Kluyveromyces lactis: one gene and its partners. The protein of the gene in region 1 purifies or fractionates together with the protein of each later gene. This does not show direct contact. Links are inferred from orthologs where the notes say so. Each region holds a gene or a part of one and is shown in the gene's direction. Other genes may lie near its edges.

Evidence for each region.
Region 2: the proteins of NOP53 (region 1) and SDA1 purify together in Saccharomyces cerevisiae (affinity purification with mass spectrometry; 5 studies listed by BioGRID, with this or other methods). This does not show direct contact. The link is inferred for Kluyveromyces lactis from reciprocal best matches to the Saccharomyces cerevisiae genes NOP53 and SDA1.
Region 3: the proteins of NOP53 (region 1) and BUD20 purify together in Saccharomyces cerevisiae (affinity purification with mass spectrometry; 3 studies listed by BioGRID). This does not show direct contact. The link is inferred for Kluyveromyces lactis from reciprocal best matches to the Saccharomyces cerevisiae genes NOP53 and BUD20.
Region 4: the proteins of NOP53 (region 1) and CGR1 purify together in Saccharomyces cerevisiae (affinity purification with mass spectrometry; 3 studies listed by BioGRID). This does not show direct contact. The link is inferred for Kluyveromyces lactis from reciprocal best matches to the Saccharomyces cerevisiae genes NOP53 and CGR1.
Region 5: the proteins of NOP53 (region 1) and RSA4 purify together in Saccharomyces cerevisiae (affinity purification with mass spectrometry; 5 studies listed by BioGRID, with this or other methods). This does not show direct contact. The link is inferred for Kluyveromyces lactis from reciprocal best matches to the Saccharomyces cerevisiae genes NOP53 and RSA4.
Region 6: the proteins of NOP53 (region 1) and NOG1 purify together in Saccharomyces cerevisiae (affinity purification with mass spectrometry; 7 studies listed by BioGRID, with this or other methods). This does not show direct contact. The link is inferred for Kluyveromyces lactis from reciprocal best matches to the Saccharomyces cerevisiae genes NOP53 and NOG1.
Region 7: the proteins of NOP53 (region 1) and REA1 purify together in Saccharomyces cerevisiae (affinity purification with mass spectrometry, with the first as the bait; 3 studies listed by BioGRID). This does not show direct contact. The link is inferred for Kluyveromyces lactis from reciprocal best matches to the Saccharomyces cerevisiae genes NOP53 and REA1.

What each region holds. Positions count from the first base shown.
Region 1 is NC_006042.1:1,055,269-1,058,242, reverse strand, and holds NOP53 (Nop53p), read left to right. Parts: upstream 1-1,139; coding exon 1,140-2,474; downstream 2,475-2,974. Other genes in the region: HPR1 (Hpr1p), read left to right, coding at 1-716; ATP-binding cassette long-chain fatty acid transporter PXA1, read right to left, coding at 2,715-2,974. UniProt on the Saccharomyces cerevisiae protein: Late-acting factor in the nuclear maturation of 60S ribosomal subunits, which is required for normal acquisition of export competence. Required for the export of the large subunit.
Region 2 is NC_006037.1:498,626-502,876, forward strand, and holds SDA1 (Sda1p), read left to right. Parts: upstream 1-1,471; coding exon 1,472-3,751; downstream 3,752-4,251. Other genes in the region: transcription factor TFIIIB subunit BRF1, read left to right, coding at 1-919.
Region 3 is NC_006040.1:486,379-488,870, reverse strand, and holds BUD20 (Bud20p), read left to right. Parts: upstream 1-1,488; coding exon 1,489-1,992; downstream 1,993-2,492. Other genes in the region: RPL10 (60S ribosomal protein uL16), read right to left, coding at 188-850; ubiquitin-specific protease OTU1, read right to left, coding at 2,159-2,492. UniProt on the Saccharomyces cerevisiae protein: Involved in pre-60S ribosomal particles maturation by promoting the nuclear export of the 60S ribosome. Involved in positioning the proximal bud pole signal.
Region 4 is NC_006041.1:950,129-952,297, reverse strand, and holds CGR1 (Cgr1p), read left to right. Parts: upstream 1-1,303; coding exon 1,304-1,669; downstream 1,670-2,169. Other genes in the region: CCM1 (Ccm1p), read right to left, coding at 1-963; KLLA0_E10737g (inositol oxygenase), read left to right, coding at 2,114-2,169. UniProt on the Saccharomyces cerevisiae protein: Involved in nucleolar integrity and required for processing of the pre-rRNA for the 60S ribosome subunit.
Region 5 is NC_006039.1:748,390-751,784, forward strand, and holds RSA4 (Rsa4p), read left to right. Parts: upstream 1-1,347; coding exon 1,348-2,895; downstream 2,896-3,395. Other genes in the region: mitogen-activated protein kinase kinase kinase SSK2, read left to right, coding at 1-820; IMG2 (mitochondrial 54S ribosomal protein mL49), read left to right, coding at 3,182-3,395. UniProt on the Saccharomyces cerevisiae protein: Involved in ribosome biogenesis. Required for processing and efficient intra-nuclear transport of pre-60S ribosomal subunits.
Region 6 is NC_006041.1:2,150,259-2,154,182, reverse strand, and holds NOG1 (putative GTPase NOG1), read left to right. Parts: upstream 1-1,492; coding exon 1,493-3,424; downstream 3,425-3,924. Other genes in the region: Sec63 complex subunit SEC62, read right to left, coding at 132-872. UniProt on the Saccharomyces cerevisiae protein: Involved in the biogenesis of the 60S ribosomal subunit.
Region 7 is NC_006042.1:1,851,630-1,855,783, reverse strand, and holds the start of REA1 (AAA family ATPase midasin), read left to right. Parts: upstream 1-1,354; coding exon 1,355-4,154. Other genes in the region: REX3 (RNA exonuclease), read right to left, coding at 1-1,191. UniProt on the Saccharomyces cerevisiae protein: Nuclear chaperone required for maturation and nuclear export of pre-60S ribosome subunits.

The sequences.
Region 1 (2,974 bases):
AATTAGACGGTCTATGGAAAGTGCAATCAGGCTTAGATTTAGCGAGAAAGTATTCAGAAAACAATAGACAAGATCCCTCAGAACTATATGACACTATAATATCCGAATACAAGGATAAAACTGAAAAAACTGATGGTGATGAAACCACTACTGATAATGTCATAGTAAAACAATGGCAGAATCTAAGATCTTTGAGGCCGAAATACTTGTTTGAGTTTAATAAGGTCAGCGAAAAAACTACTCTGGCGGGGTTCGCCAATGAAGAACTCATTAGGAATGATATCGAATCTAAGAAAAGACGGCTAGCCGAAAGAATAGAGTCAAAAAAGAAGAAACATTCCGAACAAGTCGCCGAGGCTGAACAGTTTTTCAAAGACAAGGAACAAGAAAGGAAAGATCTACTTCAAGCGAAGATAAAAAGTCAAAGAGAAACTCTGGAAAATGGAAAAAATGATAAAACAACTTCGCCTGATGATCAAGATAATGATTCACTAAAGAGAAGACACGATAGTCCAGAGGCTGACGGGAATGAAGAAGAACAAGCTGTTTCGAAGAAACAAAAACTTGAGGAAGAAGTTGAAGAACCAGATGCTGACGCTGAGGCTCAAAAGGAAAAAGCGCTTGAATCTGAACCAACAGAGCTTAAAACAATAGAAAGTACAGAAACAGAAGTAGAGGTGCCGAAAGAACATGAAGGAAGCTCCCACACGGAGTAGGCTAACAATACAGTAATATTTTTTCAGACATCCGTTCAAATATATAGCATATAATTCGATTGAAGAATCATTTATTTTATCAATTACAGATGTTACTTATCAATATCACACGATTCTAGACTATTCCTCTCCTAATTGACATTCGACAGCTATCTCCTTGTCTATTATGAATCGATATCCTTTACTTTGCTTCGAAAGTGAATGTTACCCGGAGAATAATCATATTTCTTTTTTTTTATGTCAATTTTTCATTTAGACAATCCGATGCCAATAAGATGAAAAAAAAAAAAAGAGATGAGATGCGATGCGATGAGATGAATTCAAGTACACAATTAATACTCGGGGACTGGCGTATCGTTTTACTAATCCTTACCATACTATTCAGGACAATCCACCTCAAACAAACAGACAAAATAGTTAGTTATGGCGGGATCTAAGGACAGACCAGCTCAGTACAAACAATCTTCTCGTAAAGGTAAGAAGGCATGGAGAAAGAATATTGATATAAGCGATGTGGAACGCAAGCTCGAAGAGAAGCAGATCCTTGAGACTACTCATGGTAAGCAGAATTTGACAGAACTTAGCGATGATGCGCTTTTTGCGGTTGATACTGAGGGTGACCAAGTTTTAAAGCAGAAATTAGTGAAGAGGAAAGCAATCAAGAAAACTCTGAAGTCAACCGAGATTTTGGAGTCTATCAAGTCTAAATCCAAAGTGCCTGCTCTAACCAACCCAAAGACTGCTAACAAGAAACATGATAAGATCCAAGGGGTATCAAAGAAAGAACTGGACAGATTACTTGCTTTAGCTGGTAAAAAAATTGGTGAAAGTAAGTTGAAAGCAAGAGTTGCAAAAGAAGGTCTTGTGAAGTCAGGATCCCTTGATTTATGGGGCGAAGATGCTGGTAAGGAGGTTAAAGTACCATCTGGACTGAAGCTTAAGATAGCACCAGAAGAAGTAGAGAAACTTCCAAATGGATTCTTAAAACAGTCTACAACTAGTTGGTCCGTCGCAACTGTTAAGCCGGATTCCATTGCTCGCGTGCCAGAAATTGTCAAAGAAAGAGATGTCATTCCACATGCAGGAAAGTCATATAATCCAAGCAAAGAAGAATGGGAGGCTCTTATAAGTACTGAATATGAGGGTGAGCTGATAAATGAACAGCGCAGGATAGCTTTAGAACAATATAAACAACGAATTCAACACTTGATGGATACTATTGAAGATAAGGAGGAAGAGGACTCCGATTCAGAAGAAGAAAATGAATCAGAACTTGATGATAAAGACCTTTCAGAAGAGGGAGAAGAGACTAAGTTGTCTCTGAATCCAGCAACTAAGAATAAAAAGAAAACGAAATATCAGAGAAATAAACAAAGAAGACACGAAGAAAAAGTCAAACTTCAGCAAGAATTAAAGAAATTGAAGGAAAAGGTTCTCAAACTTGAAAAATTAGAGGAAATTCAGCAGGAAGTGGAATCCACCGTCCCAAATCCGGTCTCTACAGCCGGAAAAGTTAAAAAGAACAAGAAGCATAAGCTTGGTACTAAACATTCCGTCATGGAAGACAATTTAGAGGTGAAATTCTCAGATGAACTATCAGATTCATTAAGAAAATTAAGACCAGAAGGTAATCTGCTATATGACACTGTGAGAGCATTACAAAGTTCTGGTAGGGTAGAATCTCGTATCCCTATTAGAAAAGGTAGAAGATATAAACCAAGAGTCACTGAGAAATGGACTTACAAGGACTTCAAATAGATTAATTTGCTCTTTTCTTTCTATACATCATTCCGTACCATTTGTACAATAAAATACACAGACGTACCTGTGCTTTTCTTGCATAATTTATATAGAGCAAAATATTAATAGATTCATTAACTCTGTGATTATATTATATAATAGTAATGAATACAATATCCGACACTTTTACTACTGATTGAACTACACACCAAGAATAGTTCATTTGACTTGGCAGATTTAAATTTTCAAACCAATTTTTCACACCAATGTCAACTTTGCCTGTAGTTCATCTCTCTGCCTTTCCCATTCTTTTACCTTTGTTAGCTTTTGGTTTAGGGTTTCAATCTCATTTTCGATTGATAAAATAGCTTCGTCTGACCCTAATGCCTGTAGGCTCCAATCAGTTCCGTTAGTCAATTCCAATAGGTAGTCATGGTATTTTATCAAAGACGGGCGTTGAGAGATGGATATGAAGTTGAATCTGTATCTCTTCAACATGGTAAAAAGATGATCTTCCA
Region 2 (4,251 bases), on another chromosome or scaffold:
GCATTCTGAAATCGTGGCAATATCTCATGTTGCAGAGGAAACGCTTCAGCAAAGATTGAATGAGTTTAAGAATACAACATCAGCTAAGCTCTCCGTGAAAGAGTTCCGTGATGATGAAACTGAGGTAAATGAGGGTGAGAGAAGTGCCGAATCGAAACCTCCTAGTTTCGATAAGAACAGACTAAAGGAAAAGAAAATAAAAGATTCTTTGGATACTAAAGAGATGTTGGAGACAAGCGAGGAAGCCGTGTCAAGAAATCCAATTTTGACTCAAGTGCTCGGAGCGCAGGAACTATCGTCTAAAGAAGTCCTTTATTATTTGAAGAAGCTTTCTGAACGCAGAAAAGCTGAATTCAGTCGTATAAAAGCTACGCATGGAATCGATGGAGAAGACTTACACAAAACTGAGAAAGACAAGAAACGTTCCCTGGATGAAATTGATGGATATAGTCTTGAAAAGGATCCATATAGACCAAGAAATTTACATTTATTACCCACCACAGCTTCTCTGCTTTCAAAAGTCAGCGATCATCCTGAAAATTTGGATGATGTTGATGATGCAGAATTGGATTCTCACTTGTTAGATGAAGAAGCTTCCAAATTGAAAGAACGTATTTGGATTGATATCAACGGTGATTACTTGATTGAACAAGAATCAAAAAGACTCAAACAGGAAGCAGATTTGGCCAGTGGGAATACTTCGCTACGAAAAAAACGCAGCAAACGTACTAATAGAAACCAATCCAGTGCAAGCATCGTCAAAGTTCAAGTCGACGGACTACCGCTTGATGTTTCCGTGGATGACGCTGATGCTGTAGATGTTGTCGCAGCTGGAGGTGTCAAGAATCTATTACAAAAGACGACTTTCTCAAAGAAGATCAATTACGATGCTATTAACGGTCTCTTTGGACAAAAATAGTTTCTACGTCGTCACTGTTTCTCTTCTCTTGTACGATATCCATCAGATCAAACTCAAGAAAATTATATGAATACCAACTGCTATTTACATATCGTTACTTGATACAGATGTCTGTTTTTGCTCTTTTTTATTTTAATATTTTACACTAAATTGGTGTATCAATTTCATTTCGATTATATTTTTGGAACTATATTTAAACGGCGTACATAATTTATAAACATTGCAAACAAATATTCGTTTGGTGTGGACTATTATTCATTTATGGAACACAATAATAAGCTACCATCAGTATACCATTTTGCCTATTCAGATATTAAAGAGCCTTAAACCCACTTTTTGCCTCTGGTTTCTTCTTTCCGTACCGTGAGTGAAAAGAAATTTTTTAGAAGGAAGAAAATTTTGAGATGAGATGCGATGAGATAGAACCTATGTATGAACAAAGTATATCACTCCGAGACAACTAAAGTTGCCTAACACTATTCGAACTTGTGCAAATCAACTAAGTATTTCCGAACAGTGAAAAGGAATCACATAATCAAATAAGAAACAAATATGGTTAGGAGATCTCGTGCTGCTATTCTACCGACAAACATTATTCTCTTGCAGAACCTTGTTAAGCGTGATCCTGAATCCTATCGTGAAGAGTTTCTACAGCAATATGCTCACTACCAATCATTAAGAGACATTTTCATGTTAAATTCGGTCAACAACGAGAGCACTGATGAAAGTGCAATGGCTGAGTTTATGGGAGCAATTGGATTTGTATCTCAAGTTTGTTCCTGTTATCCTCGTGAAACGGCAAACTTCCCAAACGAATTGAAACAGTTAGTATTAGATCACCACAAATCGCTTCCGTTTGACGTGAAAGAAAAGATTATCACCAGTCTAACTATGTTGAGAAATAAGAACGTTATCAGCCCTGAGACTTTGATTCAAACTATGTTCCCATTGCTTATTGCATACTCTTCCCCTAGTAATTCGATGGTCCAGAATTCTCACGCCAAAGAGCTAAGAACTTTAATCTACAACACTCTAGTACAGTTGATGAAATCTTGTAACACCAGTGGTAAGAACCAAAAATTAAACAAATCTACCCATGCGTTGTGTTTCAATTTGTTGGAACAGCCAGATTCTCAAGGTATATGGGCATCGAAATTGACAAGAGAGTTATGGAGAAGAGGTATCTGGGACGATTCAAGATCGGTTGAAATTATGACCCATGCTGCACTACATAACGATGTTAAAATTGCATACAGTGGTGTCTTGTTCTTTTTGGATGCTGATAAAGAGCGTGAAGAAGCGTTTGAAGAAAACGACGATGAGGATGAAATCGATACTACCGCTTTGAAGCACAAGCTCCAGATCAACAAGAAATCTAGTAAAAGAGGTAAGAAGCTAGAGCAAGCACTTAAGGTCGTAAAGAAGAAATCTGCTAAAGGTGTTCAACAGAATAATTTCTTAAATTTCAGTGCCATCCATCTATTACGTGATCCACAAGGGTTTGCCGAGAAATTGTTTGAAAGACATCTAAGTGGTAAGAATTCGAACAAATTTGATTTCGAACAAAAGACTGCCATCATGCAATTATTATCCCGTTTAACAGGTACACACAAGTTAATGGTTCTTGGACTATATTCATACTTCTTAAAATACCTGACGCCAAAGCAAAGGGACGTTACCAAGATTCTATCTGCTGCAGCCCAATCCTGTCATGATCTTGTTCCTCCAGAGACCATTGAAGTGATGGTGAGGAAGATAGCCAACGAGTTTGTTAGCGACGGTGTTTCAAATGAGGTTGCCACTGTGGGTTTGAATACAGTCAGAGAAATCTTGACTCGTGCCCCATTAGCTATCGATGAGACTTTACTACAAGATTTAACCGAATATAAGGGCTCCAAGGCCAAGAGTGTCGCCATTGCTGCTAAGGGTTTGATTGCATTATACAGAGAAGTTGCTCCGGAGATGTTAAAGAAGAAAGATCGTGGTAAGACCGCTTCTATGGGACTACAGGACGACAAACGCAATGGCAGGGAATCCAAACGTGTCAAGTTTGGTGTCGAGACTACTAATGTACAAGGTATAGATGGTATTGAGTTACTAGCGAAGTGGAAGCGTGAGAACGGAAACGAGGAGGATGATGATGATGAGGCTGCATGGGATTTGAACAACCGGGATGAATTATCAGATGCTTCGGATGTAGAAGGTGAGTGGGTGACGATAGAAAGCGATAAAGAGTACGAAGTTGACATGGACTCTGACGATGAGGAAAGCAAGAACAAAACAGGTCATAAGGGTAAGAAACGTTCCCACGATGAAGTCGAACCGGAAGCTGGTGAAGATAGTGATTTAGAATTATCCGGTGATGAAGAAGAACCAAAGGTGGGAGAAGAGCAGAAGGAAGAAAGTGAATCCGCTGACCCAGAAGAAGCTTTCCGTGAATTAGCATCCAGTCGTATCTTAACACCAGCCGATTTCGCTAAACTTCAAGAACTACGTACTGAAAAGGGTGTTACTAAACTTATGGGGATCAACAACGAAGAAACTATTGAGCATTACAAGCTTATGGGTCCAGCCAAGCACAAGAAACAGAACAAAGAGGAAAGAATGGCATCTATTATGGAAGGTCGTGAAGACCGTGAAAAATACGGAAGTAAGCGTGGTAAGCGTGACAGTTCAATGAGATCAACTACAAATAAAGAGAAATCTAGAAAGAAGAACTTTGTGATGATGATCCATAAGAGATCTGTGAAGGGTAAGCAAAAAATGTCGCTTCGTGACAAACAAAAGGTCTTGCGTGCTCATATCACGAAGCAAAAGAAGAAAGGTAATTAAACTAGATGGCATGGCAAAAGTAGTTATATTAATTATAGGCACTTGTAGACACAGCATATAAAAGATAGAAAAAAAAGACACGTCAGTGTCACGTGACCAACTCATTTTCTCCATTTAGCCCAGTTTTGAAGTTGTCCTTTCAGCCAATGTGATATCACCATCCGAGACCACTTGTCTGCTGCTCATATCCCAGGTCAAAAAGGACTATTAACACGGCTTAACGGTGTGCCAACGGTTTTGGACCGAGAAGGACATGATCTAACAGGGAAAAAAAAAACTCGAAAAGAAAAAGAGACCACTACAGGATGTTTGAGGAACTTCAGCTTGAATGGAAATCTCGACACTATCAGCTATATTCATGCGTCGGCATTAAGCCTTCTTCGCATCACGGGCTGTGGCCCGTGATGCTGGCCCGCACTAAATGGGGCCGGGAAGGCATATGTTCCAACGCGTTACTCTCGAGGGAACGATTTACTACTGCCTAGACTAGCTCGTCTCAG
Region 3 (2,492 bases), on another chromosome or scaffold:
ATTGTAATTGCCAAAGGATAGGTTTGTATCATTTTATTCGGGAGAATTGTCCATACTTGAGATTAAAGAGAAGGAAAGAAAAATGATATTGAATTAACTCCAAAACATAATGGTAAGCTAAAATAGTATGTAGGTTAGGTTACTTAAAATGACGATGAAATTATTATTGATTCAACACATAAAAAATTTAAGCCTTAGCGAAGTATTCTGGGAATTCTCTGATGTTTTCTTCCAAAGAACCCTTCTTGGACAAGAACTTGACAAAAGCACCATCGTCCTTAATTTCACCAGCGTCTCTCTTCTTAACGTATTCTTCACGGTTCAAAGAAGTGAAACCCCACTTCTTAGAGATAATGATCTTTTGTTGACCTGGGAACTTGTATCTAGCTCTTCTCAAACCTTCAATGACAGTGTCCTTGTTGTTGTCCTTGGTTCTGACAGAGAAGATAACTTGACCAATGGCAACTCTGGCAGCCAAACCGTGAGGCTTACCCCAAGCACCTCTCATACCTTGTTGCAATCTATCGGCACCGGCACAAGACAACATCTTGTTGATTCTCAAAACGTGGAATGGGTGGACTCTGACTCTTAAGTGGAAAGAATCTCTACCAGTCATCTTGGTGATGTACTTGTTAGCAGTAATACGAGCAGCTTCCAAAGCTTCAGAAGACAATTGTTCCAATTCATTGGAAACTAAGTGGACACACAATGGGAATTCATCGACAGTGGCCTTCTTCTTACCCAAATCATAAATTCTGATCTTAGAGTCTGGAACAGCTCTGTTGTATCTAGACTTTGGGTAAGGCTTGTTCTTTTGGTATCTGTAACATCTAGCTGGTCTTCTAGCCATTTTGAATTACTTTGGACGGTGATAGGTGATCGGTGTTCCTGTAAATAATAAACAAAATTGAAGCGAATGATCAAACCTTATGTTAAAGATATCGATAATTATCATTAAATTATGTTCTCTTTTTATTACATTTGAAAATCTCGATGATTACCACCAACTATTGCAGGAAGCTTTTGCATTTGTCAGAAACTTGAAAAAGATTGGAAAGTCGTAGCGAAGTCACACGGTAAGAAACTACTGTGAAAACAAATCAAAGAAAATAGTTACTAATCACGTGCTCTATTTCCTATTGTGGTTGTTTTTGTATCATAAAAATATGTTGAATGCCAATATGTAATAGTGTCTGGGTGTTGGGGATAGCAGTCCCAGATGCGTTGTTATGCACGTGATGCTGATTGAAATTTCATTTCTTTTCCAAGTCGATGAGATGAGATGAGATGAGACGAGACATGATATTGCAGAAAATTTTATGTACTCGGTGTTTCTACGATAAAGCCAAGTGCGAAGAAAGAAGTACAAACACACATCATTGAATCTCTTTCTCTATGAGACTTAGATACTCATTGGTTTTGTTTGATAGTTTAAGTTAATCTGTGGTACCAGCCTGTCAGAAATATAGGAGAAGGTAAGAAAGGAAAATGGGAAGATATTCTGTTAAACGTTACAAGACGAAGAGAAGAACAAAGGATCTTGATTTGATCTATGAAGAGCTTACATCTCAAAAGCAAATTGATAGTCTCCTGAATCAGCCGATAGATGAAACTAAACCGGGTCTAGGGCAATACTACTGCATACACTGTGCTAAATATTTCGAAACTGCATATGCCTTAAAGACTCATTTGAAGACTAAAATCCATAAGAGAAGGGTGAAGGAATTGAAAGGTGTTCCATACACTCAACAGGTAGCAGATGCTGCTGTTGGGTGTGGTGTGAACTCGTTCTTGGCTAGAGTAGAGCAGATCAAATCTCAAATTGGTCCTCAAAAGGAGGAAAACGAAAAGATATTAACCTCACATCTTGATACCACTTTGGCCAACGTCAGCACAACAGAATCCACTTTGCCATACCTTGATGGTGCAGTACAGGAACAAGCACAGCAAGAAGCTGTAGTTGCTGAAGGGGAAATTCAAATGGCTGATTAGATGCAGGAAAACATTTTCACTTCCTGTGCTTTTTCTTCAATGTATATTATCATTTAACACAAGAGAAATACACCGAAAGTGCAATTATATAAACTGGTAGATATACAGACGCTCATATATTAAGTGCTATTTCTTTCTTCAATATTATTCAATGGTTATATTTGTTTTATTTTTGCCTAAAATCAACATGACCAGTTTTCTCAGCGTGCTTGCTCACCTCTCGTTCTCCAATCAAGGTGGTGCCACAAGTATTGCATAAAATTGAATCTCTTGCAGTATTGAAAGACTTCCCCTCTCTTTTCATCTTCTTCGCGATCTCCTGTGTTTTTTGTAAAAGGAATTCAGTATCTTTCTCTCCGATGTCAAATACAGTTTGATGCTGAGTTCCATCAAATATCTCTACCGTATCATAATGAACTCCGTTATATGCTATAATAATAAATTTATCGTATAAATCCTCGTTGAATTTCTCGAATTTACGTGCATCCACATCGAGCACG
Region 4 (2,169 bases), on another chromosome or scaffold:
ATAGAAAGAAATGACTGTCGTATAGTTCTTTCTGTTAGGTTGCATATCATACGTCGAGGTGAATTTCTTTAAAAAAAAGTCCATATACTCCCAGCTCATGGCTTTTGAAGCTGCAAATATACAAGCATTTAGCATATACTGTGTTGGCTGGAAACTTTTCTTCGATAATGTAGCATCCATTCTCTCTGTTAACTCTCGAAGTTTACCACATACTTCCAATTTGCCCTGTGCTGATGGTGATGTAACCCGAGAAAAAGACAACATGAGATGCTCGTATAAGTTACCATTTAACCGCGAGGAGTCATTCCCAACGCTTTCCATTATCATCTCATCCAATTGGGATAAGCTCGTAAAGGAAAGTTTATCGAATTTCGAAAGAATCTTGGAATAAATAAATTGGATTCCTAAACCCTTTAGTCTCTGTTCTGAATGGTATAGTTCTGTTACTATCGGATTAAAATCCCTATTCCTCTTATCAAACAAACACCTCAAAATGAGGTCCTTGTCCTTTATCCTCTCTGATAATCGCTCGGGTAGTAACGATGTATCAGCTTTATCTGATAACAAAAGAGTTGAAAGATTCTGTTCTGCCCCAGGGCCCGCTACCTTATCGTTCAATGAACTTAAAATAACTCCAGCATCGCTGTCAAAATCATGCATCTCGGGATCTACCGATTTTGTCTCCTCCTCTTCTATAACATGCTTACGCTTTAGCTCATCAGTGTACTTGATCTGTTCTCGAAGATTTCTGGTGAACTCTTTCAACTGATTAACCTTGAACTGAACTTCCTTCTCATTAGTGAAATCGATTGAATCCAAATCTAACACATCTTTCGTATCAGTGACAGATCTCGCCCGTCTCTTACGAGATCTAACATCTCTGCTAGCTGGCATGATCACACTCCTTCGCGCATTTCGTACCAGTGTTGACGAAGTCTTACCATTCTTTCCAAGTGAAAGCATTCCCTCTTACAGTGGTTTCCAAAAGATCAAAAGAGCACCTTTTATATGTTCCTTACACTATAATTCAATTAATCGATGATCTAGCGACAGATAACACCGATTGAACTTTTGAACTAATACTTTCATGGTAAGTTCATCTCATCTCATCTCATTTCTAACTAGAAATTTTTCAATCTTTAATGTTAAAGATTTCTTTTTCATTATTATGTGATAGTGAAAAATTAGAGAGACAATGAGATGAGATGAGATGAGATGAGAGAAACACATACAAAGGTTGTAACAAAGTGGTCGTGACTGGAGTAACCATTACTGTAGTAATCGCGAAAGTGTACGAATTATCATGTCAGACAATACAGCAGAACAGCAGGATATACAGATCAAGGGTAAGCCCGTTAGTGGCCGCACCTGGAAGGTAGAGAAAGAACCTTTGAGGGCTAAGAACAGAGTCGTGAAGAATAAGAAGTTGACCTCATGGGAATTGAAGAAACAAAAGAGACTAGAAGATCAGCAGTTCAAGGAAAAGGTACGTGCTTTGAAGGAGGAGAAGAAAGCCGAGAAAGACGCTGTTATTCAAGCTTTGAAGGAAAGAAGAGCAAAGAAGGAAGAACAAGAAAGGTACGATAGATTGGCTGCCAAGATGCACGCTAAGAAGGTCGATAGACTAAGAAGAAGAGAAAAGAGAAATAAGGCTTTGAAAGAGCGTTGAGACATAAAGTCATAAATACTGTATAATAGAATAAAGACATATCTGCATTAACGATTTAGGCTTGTTCCGTCCTCCGCAATTGTATATACTGACGATGAAAAAGTATGTGGGAAATTGACAAAAATTAAAACCAATTTGCTGCTTCTGTGGATCGAACACAGGACCTTATGAACTTCAGTCATACGCTCTCCCAACTGAGCTAAAGCAGCCAAATTAATTACAAGAACCAGTTTTCTTTCGCTCACCTTGCACTAAAATTACTGTTATGGATATTTCTCAATGATTTTCTAATGATGGATGTGAGTGTCAACTTAACGATAGAACAGGATTAAGTTTATAGTGTATGAGATACGTCTCGGTACGCTCTGATATTTCGAACGGTGAATTTATTAGTGCTCTGTTAAAAGGGATCTTTTGCTCAGTGCCGTTGAAATAATTGAAACAATGTCAAAGGATTTGGGAGAGATTATCCATTCGGATAAAGGCCATTTACTGGAGCT
Region 5 (3,395 bases), on another chromosome or scaffold:
AGATACTGGTGATATTTTAGCGGTAAAAGAGATCAAAATCCAAGATGCTAAATCCATGAAGCAAATTTTCCCATCTCTCAAAGAAGAAATGCGCGTCATGGAGATCTTAAATCACCCGAATATTGTTCAGTACTATGGTGTGGAAGTTCACAGAGACAAGGTTAATATCTTTATGGAATTCTGCGAGGGTTCCTCCTTAGCCAGTTTACTCGAACATGGCCGGATTGAAGATGAAATGGTAACTCAAGTTTACACACTACAATTACTTGAGGGATTGGCATGTTTGCACCAATCTGGAGTTGTGCACAGAGATATCAAACCGGAGAATATCTTATTGGATCGTAATGGCGTTATCAAATATGTAGATTTTGGTGCCGCAAAACTCATTGCAAAGAACGGATCAAAGAGGATATCACTGGATGCCAATAACAAATCTACAGGCGGGAAAGATATGATCGGAACACCGATGTATATGGCACCAGAAACGGTGACTGGTCAAGGACACGGAAAATTCGGATCCGATGATATATGGTCTTTAGGTTGTGTTGTACTGGAAATGGTGACCGGTAGACGTCCATGGGCTAACTTAGACAATGAATGGGCTATCATGTATCATGTTGCAGCTGGTCACCTTCCGCAATTCCCAACCAAGTCTGAAATTTCATCTGCGGGTAGAAAGTTCATAAGCAGATGCTTAATACAAGATGCCAATAAAAGAGCAACTGCAATGGAATTGTTACTTGATCCCTGGATTTCTCAAATACGTAACATTGCATTTGGTGGCAATGCAGAATCTTTTAATAATGAAACTCATAACTAGTTCTGATAGACATAAAAGTTTCCTCCCCATGACGATCATATGTAACAATTGTAACCATAGATTTTTTTTTTGTATAAGTATTGTATGTATATATAATAATAATAGGAACTTTTGTTTGACTTTTTTTTAAACAATGCCGGATCCGTATAGTATCAATGTAACATGCACTTTCCGTTATCTGTGAGTTGCTTGCCAGTAAGTAAATTGCAGTCTAGGAATTTTTTGTGCCTGATGCTCCCCATAAGGTATTCAGAGCATAGTTTCAACATAATAAAGATTTATATTACCCGGAAGTGGTGAACTAAAAGAAATTCTTAAGTTCAAGAAAATCTTTTGAGATGCCGATGAGATGAGATGAGATGAGCTTCAACTACCAAGTCGACTTCCCTAAAAAGGAGAAGGTTCTGGTGAACGATATTAGTATTCCAGCAATAATCACAGGTCTTTTCTCGAAAGAAGTTTTTAGGTAATTAAACGAGCCCAAAATAATTCTCTGAATTTGTTAGGCCAAGCAATCCAAACGAAACATGGCAACCTTACTCCCACCGCCTTCAAAGAAGCAAAGAAGAGAAGCTCAAGCTGAACGTGGAGTTGACCTTATTCCCAAAGACCTTCCAAATGTTCTCATTAAATTCCAAGCTTTTGACAGTGGTGAAACTGTTGGAGGTTCTCTAAGGGTTCCAGGTGGTATTTCGGAGCAGCAACTGGAGGAATTGTTGAATCAGTTAAATGGAGACTCGGCAGATCCTGTTCCATACACGTTTAGCTGTTTAGTTAGCAACAAAAAGAAGGATGCAGATGAGGAAATGGTAGATATTAGAGATAATCTATATCAATCCATTTTAAAACCAGGTTTGAAAACTACCGAAGATTTTTTGACTCTAGTGTATACCCCAAGAGCTATCTTCAAAGTAAAACCAGTAACTCGGTCGTCTTCTGCAATTGCTGGTCATGGCTCGACAATTTTGTGTTCTGCATTTGCTCCAAATACAAGCTCCAGGATGGTTACCGGTGCTGGTGACAATACTGCATGTATCTGGGATTGTGACACTCAAACGCGTATGTGCACGTTACAAGGCCATCACAACTGGGTCCTATGTTGTTCCTGGTCTCCAGATGGTGAATTAATCGCCACAGGTTCTATGGACAACACAATTAGATTATGGGAATCAAGCAAAGGTAAGCCTTATGGTGATGCTTTAAGAGGTCACTCGAAATGGATTACCTCCTTATCTTGGGAACCAATCCATCTTGTCAAACCTGGTGACAAACCGAGATTAGCAACTGCATCCAAGGATGGAACTATCAAAATCTGGGATACAACAAGAAGAGTTTGCCTTTTAACCTTATGTGGCCATACGTCTTCTGTTTCCTGTGTCAAGTGGGGTGGAAAAAATGTTCTATACAGTGGTTCTCACGATAAAACAATCAGATGCTGGGACATGAATTTGAACGGTAAATGTATCAATATCCTAAAATCACACGCCCATTGGGTTAATCATCTTTCACTTTCAACAGATTATGCATTAAGACTCGGTGCGTTCGATCACAAGGGCGAAACTCCTGCTTCACCTGAAGAAGCCCAACAGAAGGCTCTGAAAAATTACGAAAAAGTTGCTAAAAGAAAAGGTGACTTCGAAGAACTGATGGTAACTGCCAGTGACGATTTTACTATGTATCTGTGGAACCCCTTGAAGTCTACTAAACCTATTACCAGAATGACCGGCCACCAAAAGCTCGTCAACCACGTTGCATTTTCGCCAGATGGCCGTTACATTGTTTCTGCATCCTTTGACAACTCCATTAAATTATGGGATGGAAGGGATGGTAAATTCCTATCCACCTTTAGAGGACATGTAGCGAGTGTCTACCAAGTAGCTTGGTCAAGCGACTGTAGACTACTCGTTTCTTGTTCCAAAGATACCACTTTAAAAGTCTGGGATGTCAAAACTAGAAAACTGTCCGTCGATCTACCCGGTCATCAAGATGAAGTCTACACTGTAGATTGGTCTGTAGACGGTAAACGTGTATGTAGCGGTGGGAAAGATAAAATGGTCAGGATATGGACTCATTGAGTGGATCCACTGCATCTGAATAATTAGCATGATTAAATTATAGACTGCCTTATGTATGTTATAGCTTCTTTTACATTTATTATGAGGTGCACAGGTGTCCCTTCTTCTTACAAGCTGAAAATTTTGAAAAATTAAAGCTTCAAGCATAGTTGAAAAGATGAAGAACGATTCAGCCGGCATTTACCATAGGAAATCGATAAGTTATCTATATAGTAAGAAAGGTGTACACCGGGAAAACCTGCATAACCACACAACAGCCTACTAATAATACAACGGCTAGTTAATAATGCTTACAAGAGTTACAAGAAGTTTTGCGGCTATGAGCCCAAGATCATTTCGGATTTGTACTAGACTACAATCAACCCAAGCACAGCAACCACAACAACAGGAAAACTCAGAAATTGAGCTTTTAAATGAACTTAAATCAGAAATGGACAAATTGGGACCATTATCTGATGCCGAAAGTGCCGAACTCAGTGCTTTATTTGACAGTCAAAGTC
Region 6 (3,924 bases), on another chromosome or scaffold:
TATATTTATATATGTTTGTATGTTTATATGTGATATTAGTATGTGATTCTCACCGAAAGAATGAACATACACCTTCTGTGATAGTTAAATTGCTAATGTACAGTCTGGGATGGAAGTCCGTTACATTGAAGTTATTTTTGCTTCTTTGCAACTGATCTATGCTTTCTCTTTTCTTTCTTCAGGAAGCTATAGCATTCCTTTTCACCAAATCCATATAGCGGTTTGAAACTTTCTATAACACCGCAATCTTCGAACAAGTTTGGGAAGAGCCAGAACCCACCCTTCTCGCTAACTGCAGCTAATGACAACAAGTAAACTATCAATCTCACAATTGCAATACCAAAGAATACACCGATAAGTGCCAATGCTGCAATGGATAAGTAGTAAGTACCACGTTTCATATATGGAGGCCATAATGGGTAACACACGAATGCTAGCACACCGACTATGATACCGATCACAGTCAAGTAATCATAAATTGATTTTGGATTATAAGACCAGACGTAATATTCATCTGGTTGTAGAGTCGCTTTATTCGATAATAATAAGTTTGGATATGATTTGTTTGGCTTTAGACCATGTTCTTTACATTCTGCAGAATGTAATTTAACCGCTGGTACGACAAATTGGGCCTTGATTAAGGAAACAAAAATGTTACGAGCATCTTCATCGCTTGTCACAGCGGGGTACAATTCGGGTTGTTTTTTGGACTTTGCCTTATATTTATCACTTTTCAAAGCTCTAACAAATCTTTTATAACGGAAGAAGTCAACTAAACGCGATTGGAACAATCCTTGTCTTTGCTTCAAGTCGCTATGAGTCCTGAGTAGATTGGCAATGGCTATCGTAGATTGTGGGCTTGGTTCCGACATAGTAACGAAACAAATCTATATTTGAAGAGAAAAATTCAAAAAAAAAAGGCGGATAAGGCAATTCTACCGGAAATTAGGCAATTATCAGGTAGTGATTAGAAAGTTATAATGAATCTAGAGATTGGACTCAAGCTGTATTCTTTCAGATCAAAATCTCATTGATATTTCTGTATATATTGAAAGTTGAAACGTAAACCGTAAATAAAATGTTCACATACATTTTAACAGTAAAATATATTGTTACCCCGACAGTCTCAAAAGAAAGTGCTTTAGTCACGTGACATAACCAATGTGTATGCCTTTAACGGTCAATTCTGAGATCCATACGAAAAAGAAATCCTGAAAGCACAATTTTTTTTTTCTTTTCAAAGGTTTGCAGTAGTGGGAAAATTTTCCAAACGGCAAGCTCATCTCATCTCATCTCATCTCATTGTGCATTCGAAGTGATAGACAGAGCTTGATTATCAGTGTGACATCCGTTTGACAGGTAGTTTGAATAGATTGGAAGTTTGTTCAAACAACTAAGCATAGCTTAACTGCATTATTGCTAGTTTAATTGTTTTTTGTTGTCCCCGTGTGTGCGTGTATCCCAAAGTTTACGTCAAATCAATTAAGCAACAATGCAATTATCCTGGAAAGATATTCCGACCGTGGCTCCTGCCAATGACTTGTTGGACATTGTGTTGAACAGAACTCAAAGAAAGACACCTACTGTTATTAGACCAGGTTTCAATATCACTCGTATCAGAGCGTTTTACATGAGAAAGGTGAAGTTCACCGGTGAAGGGTTCGTGGAAAAATTTGATGATATTTTGAAAGGTTTCCCTAATATTAACGACGTGCATCCTTTCCATAGGGATTTGATGGATACTTTGTATGAAAAGAATCATTTCAAAGTTTCTTTGGCTGCTGTGAGTCGTGCTAAGACATTGGTCGAACAAGTTGAAAGAGATTACACAAGATTGTTAAAATTCGGTCAATCTCTTTTCCAATGTAAACAATTGAAGAGAGCCGCTCTTGGTAGAATGGCTACCATTGTGAAGAAGTTGAAGGATCCTTTAGTGTATTTGGAACAAGTTAGACAACATTTGGGTAGAATGCCATCCATCGACCCAAACACCAGAACTTTGTTGATTTGCGGTTATCCAAATGTGGGTAAATCCTCTTTCTTGAGATGTATCACTAAGGCTGATGTCGAAGTGCAACCTTATGCTTTCACCACCAAGTCGCTATATGTGGGTCATTTTGATTATAAATACTTGAGATTCCAAGCGATTGATACTCCAGGTATCTTGGATAGACCTACGGATGAAATGAACAACGTCGAAATGCAATCCATTTATGCTATTGCTCATTTGCGTTCTACTGTTATGTACTTCATGGATCTATCAGAACAGTGTGGTTTCTCTATTGAAGCTCAAGTCAAATTATTCCATTCGATCAAACCATTGTTTGCCAATAAATCCGTCATGGTCGTCATTAACAAGACTGATATCATTAAACCTGAAGATTTAGACGAAGAACGTAAGAAACTTTTGGATACTGTTTTGGAAGTTCCAGGTGTTGAAATCATGACCACTTCTTGTCATGAAGAAGATAACGTTATGGCTGTTAGAAACAAGGCTTGTGAAAAGTTGTTGGCTTCCAGAATTGAAAACAAGCTAAAATCTCAAGCTAGAATCACTAACGTCTTAAACAAGATCCACGTCGCTCAACCTCAAAAGCGTGATGATGGTATTGACAGAACTCCATATATTCCAGAAGCCATCGCTAAGATGAAGAAATATGATCCAGAAGATCCAAACAGAAGAAAATTGGCTAAAGAAATTGAAATCGAAAACGGTGGGGCCGGTGTATACAACGTTAATTTGAAGGACAAGTATCTATTGGAAGACGATGAATGGAAGAACGATGTCATGCCAGAAATCTTAGATGGTAAGAACGTTTATGACTTCTTGGATCCAGAAATCGCAATCAAATTACAAGCTTTAGAGGAAGAAGAAGAAAGATTAGAATCTGAAGGCTTCTATGAATCCGACGAAGAAGAAACTTACGAAGGATTTGATGCTGACGAAATCTCTGAGATCAGAGAAAAGGCAGAATGGATTAGAGATAGACAAAAGAAGATGATCAATGCTTCAAGAAACAGAAAGGCATTGAAGAACCGTGGTACCATGCCTCGTTCTAAATTGGCAAAGACATATGGTGACATGGAGAAGCACATGTCTTCTTTAGGTCACGATATGACTGCTTTGCAAGATAAGCAAAGAGTCGCTGCTGAAAAGAACAGATATGAGCAAACTGGTGCTGACGTGGTATACGGTGATCAAGAAGATTCTGCTCCAGCTGGTAAGCTAAGACAGACAGATAGATTGACAGACGGTGTTGCTGATGGTTCAATGAGATCGAAGGCTGAAAGAATGGCCAAATTAGAAAGAAGAGAAAGAAACAGAATGGCCAGAGCCGGTGAATCTGACAGACATGCTACTGCCTCTCTACCAAAACATTTGTTCTCAGGTAAGCGTGGTGTTGGTAAGACTGATTTCCGTTAAACTGTCTGTTCTTCCTTCCTTTCCATCACTGGTGATTTCGAACATATATTATCGTGTTGCCAATTTCTTTTCTATCTCTATTGAACTATATATATTAGTCACTACTTTCATTTATTTGTCTGCATTGGGTGGGTTAAATTTAATTATTACTCCTTTATTTGTAAAATAGTTACGTACTCTGTAAAATTATAAGAGTTATACCTTTGATTTGCTTTTCCTTGACCAAATAACCAACATCCCTCTGACCTCAGTAACAATTTTATCTTTGAAAGTTATTGACTAATCTTGAAGAATAAAAAGGATGAAAATTGTAGGATCTAAATAAAATAGAAAAAAAGGAAACACTGACATAAATATTTCACCAAAACAATCTCAGTATACCTGGAATATTTAACCGTCGACCAACATCATTTTGCTTGAGTTATATTTGATTGCCTCTATTATTTCTCTATCGGTTTATCAGGCGACAGTTTTTTTTTTCTCTCTCCTATGTGCCCTTA
Region 7 (4,154 bases), about 800 kb from region 1:
ATTTTGATTGATCATGCTAGGACAGATGTAACATTTTTCTGCTTCATGAATTGTAGGTGCAGTATCATCTATATGATGAATCCCACTAAATTTAGAATTTAAATCTATAATTTCGCCCAGTGGCTTTATTACCTTGTCATACACTACTTCTGAGGACCAGAAGTCAACTATTGTAATTCTAATCATTTCATACCCTTTCGATGTGAAAGCCATCTCACAGTCTAATGCCAAAACGTTCTCTTCGCCTTTGATATCAACGAGAGATTTAAAAGGGACCACACTCGACAGTTTTGTGAAATTCTCCCATTTGTAAACGTGATTTTTCGCTTTCATACACCCTGCAGATATGTCTGAATATGATTCAAGGGAAGCTCCACAACAAGGAAATTCTCTTTTTTTAGTTTCTCTGTTATATACTTTCCTTTGAAGGTGGTACCGACATACTGTCGGTTCCATAATTTTTGTCACATCAAATTTAGTTTCACATCTATAGCATTCCACATAATCTGATTCTGATTCATTGATCGGATCAGTGTCATACATCTTGACAAAAAATCCGTTCCTACTGAGTGTTTCCTCGTCGAGTAGCAAAGATCGTAGTTTTTGCAATACGTGGGACCTTTGTATTAATGACGAACTATTATTCTTAGGTTTGCCAGTTTTATCAAGATTACCCTTATATTTAACAATATCTCGTAATAGAATGGAAGCATTGAACGCGTAACTTTGTCTTGTTTTTGCTATTTTAGCAACCTCATGTTCCCAAATAGTCGATGCCTTTATAATGTGAGGGCTGCTCGATTGAAACCTCTTTAACTGTGTGTATATCTTTTGGACAACTCTAACTCTGTCTTGATACGGAGCAGGTTGCATTTTCATGTCAACCGGACGTAAAACTGGATTACCGACCATAATTATTGCATACAGAGGAATGTATCGGAAGACAATGGAGTTCAGATGGATTGTAAACTTTAGGCTTGCTGTTAATGGCTCTCTCAAAGCATTCTTTTCTCTTACCCATCCATTTTTCTTTTGCCGATGAGATGGATTGCAGGTATATCTTTCTTTCACTGAAATATTTATTTCTTTTTGGTGTTTTTCTGTGCTCTGAGAATTTTTTAAACAAAAGCGATGAGATGAGATGAGATGAGATGACTTTAAACAAACTGCCAAATTGAGTGTAGGATACATTTAACTGCAGATCCGCTATAGACTTAGCAAAGTAAGGCATATCACTTCTTTCACAGAGTATCAAAACATCGAAACGGATATTTTCTATTCTGCCTCTGTTTATTGACTAGGAAAGAAAGAAGAATTGCTTATAAGAGGGGCGAAGGATTGAATTACTATAGCCATGTCCTCTGCATTAATTTATTTAGATGTTACTGCGGCCGAGGAAAACTTCACTATATACCAGAAGGCTTTTACTCAGCAGCACTTGTCTGACTATTATAGATTTGATGCCAAGCTTTCAACCGATGAGAACTTGTCGAATTTAGCATTTTCCTCGTTAAAAGAAGATTTAACGATTCCTCATTTATACATTTACAAGAATATATTCTTGGACTGTTGCTCTAGATGGATTTTGCAACACGACTCCAAGAAGTTTGTCACGGTATTACACGCATTGGGCAGAATTGCAAGTTTATATCCGGAAGCTTCGCAATTGATCGAAGTGTTCTTGCTCAGAAATGGTGACTACTTTAACGCATTGTTACAAACTTACCAAGCTCATGATCCAAAGGACATCGAGTTGATCCTTTTGGCTTATTATCGATTGATTCAGTATGACAAGATCAGATTTGAGAGATATATCAATGCTCAAACTCTTAATTCACTTTTGGCACACCAATCTACAATCATCAAATTTTTGTCATTAAAAGTTCTTAATATGCTTATTGAAATGGCAGAGCACGCCTGTGAACTTGTGGTCCAAAATCAACTTAAACTGTCAACTGAACCTATCTTAAGTGTATTTGAAGGTGCTTCCGATGTAGATTATCAATTTTTGGAACTTACTGAAGCTAAAAGGCTCTCAAATTACCATAGTCTACCAAATGAAATCAATGAACTTGTTTCTTATCCAAAGAACTTCAGACCAACTGGAAAATCGTTCAACATCGATATCAATGAACTTTCGTCGTTGATTGTTGAAGTATGTGGTGTATTTATTGCCAGAATCTCCGAAGCACCTTCTAATGAAGAACATCTAAAGTCAGATCTAGTATATACGGATGGTGCCAAGTTGGCCTTACAAAAATTGGCCGAAGGTATTCAGCGCAACAAGCCTGTAATGCTTGTGGGTAAGGCTGGATCAGGTAAAACATTTTTGATCAATGAGCTTTCAAAAAAAATGAACTGCGATAGTTCTGTTGTCAAAATTCATTTAGGTGAACAAACTGATGCTAAACTACTTTTGGGTACATATACATCAGGTGAAAAACCCGGTTCTTTTGAATGGAGATCCGGTGTTCTCACAACAGCAGTTAAAGAGGGACGATGGGTACTTATCGAGGATATCAACAAAGCGCCAACCGAAGTCTTGTCTGTTCTTCTTACCCTTCTTGAAAAAAGAGAAATATCCATTCCATCTAGAGGTGAAGTCATCAAAGCTGCCAACGGTTTCCAGTTATTAGCAACAATAAGACTAGACGAGCACACCTCCCATGGTGGCATTACGCATGAGTCTGACCTGATTGGTATGAGATTATGGGAGAAAATCCTTGTAGATGAGCCGTCTGAAGACGATTTGAAGCTTATTCTACAAAAAAGGTTTTCTTTGTTAACTGCCTTAATACCGAAACTTATCAGCACCTACAAATCTGTGAAAGATATTTACAGAAATCCACAATTTGTTTCATTGAACAAAGGTGTTCAACCAAGAATCATTAGTGTTCGAGATTTAGTTAAACTAAGTCAGAGAATCACCGAACTTTTTGAAGCTAATCAAGTTGTTAAACCGGATCAACTTATCGAGTCGTCTATCTATGATGATATTTTTGCTGAAGCTGTCGATTGTTTTGTTGGTTCGATTAGTGAATATGGAGCCGTACAGCCCTTAGTACAGAAAATTGGAGAAGAGCTTGAAGTTTCAGTTTCCAGAATCACGTTGTTCTTGAACAAGCATGTACCGGCAATCGAAAAAGCTGGTGATGATGTGAAAATTGGAAGAGCTCACCTAAGAAGACCCAAGTCAACTATTCATAAAAAAAGTGCCAACACTACATCGTTTGCGTTTACCAATCATTCTCTTCGTTTAATGGAACAAATTGGTGTTGCCGTCAAAATGTGTGAACCAACATTATTAGTCGGTGAGACCGGTACTGGTAAAACTACTGTAGTTCAAGAGTTAGCAAAGCTAATGAATAAGAATTTGACGGTTATTAACGTTTCCCAGCAGACTGAGAGCGGTGATCTATTAGGTGGTTACAAGCCTGTGAATTGTAGGACTGTCGCAATTCCAATTCTAGAAGATTTTGAGGGGCTTTTCCTTGCTACATTCTCTTTGAAGAAGAACGAGAAGTTCTATAAACTCCTCCATAAGTGCTTCTCCAAGGGGCAATGGAAGAACGTCGCTAAACTTTGGAAAGAAGCTATTAAAATGGCTGATAGCATTCTAAAAAAGGACTCAAATGAGAAAGAGGAAGCTGACAAGAAAAAAAAGCGTAAACTCGACCCTGAGAGTAAACAAGCTTTATTGGAAAAATGGAAGGAATTCAGACAAACAGTTGAATCATTTGAATTACAATCCTCTACTTTGGAAAACTCGTTTGTGTTTAATTTTGTGGAAGGTTCTTTGGTGAAGGCTGTCAGAAATGGAGAATGGTTGTTATTGGATGAAGTCAACTTGGCCTCGGCAGACACGCTTGAAAACATAGCTGATTTGCTTTCAGAAAGTGACTCTAGAAGTATACTTCTATCTGAAAAAGGTGAGGCAGAATCGATAAAAGCCCATCCAGATTTCAGAATTTTCGCTTGTATGAACCCTGCTACAGATGTCGGTAAGAGAGATTTACCACCAGGTATTCGATCAAGATTTACCGAAGTTTATGTTCATTCTCCTGACCGTGACATCTCTGATCTATTGTCTATCATTGACAAGTACATTTCAAAGTATAGCGTAAGCGACGAATGGGTTGGTAACGACATCGCTG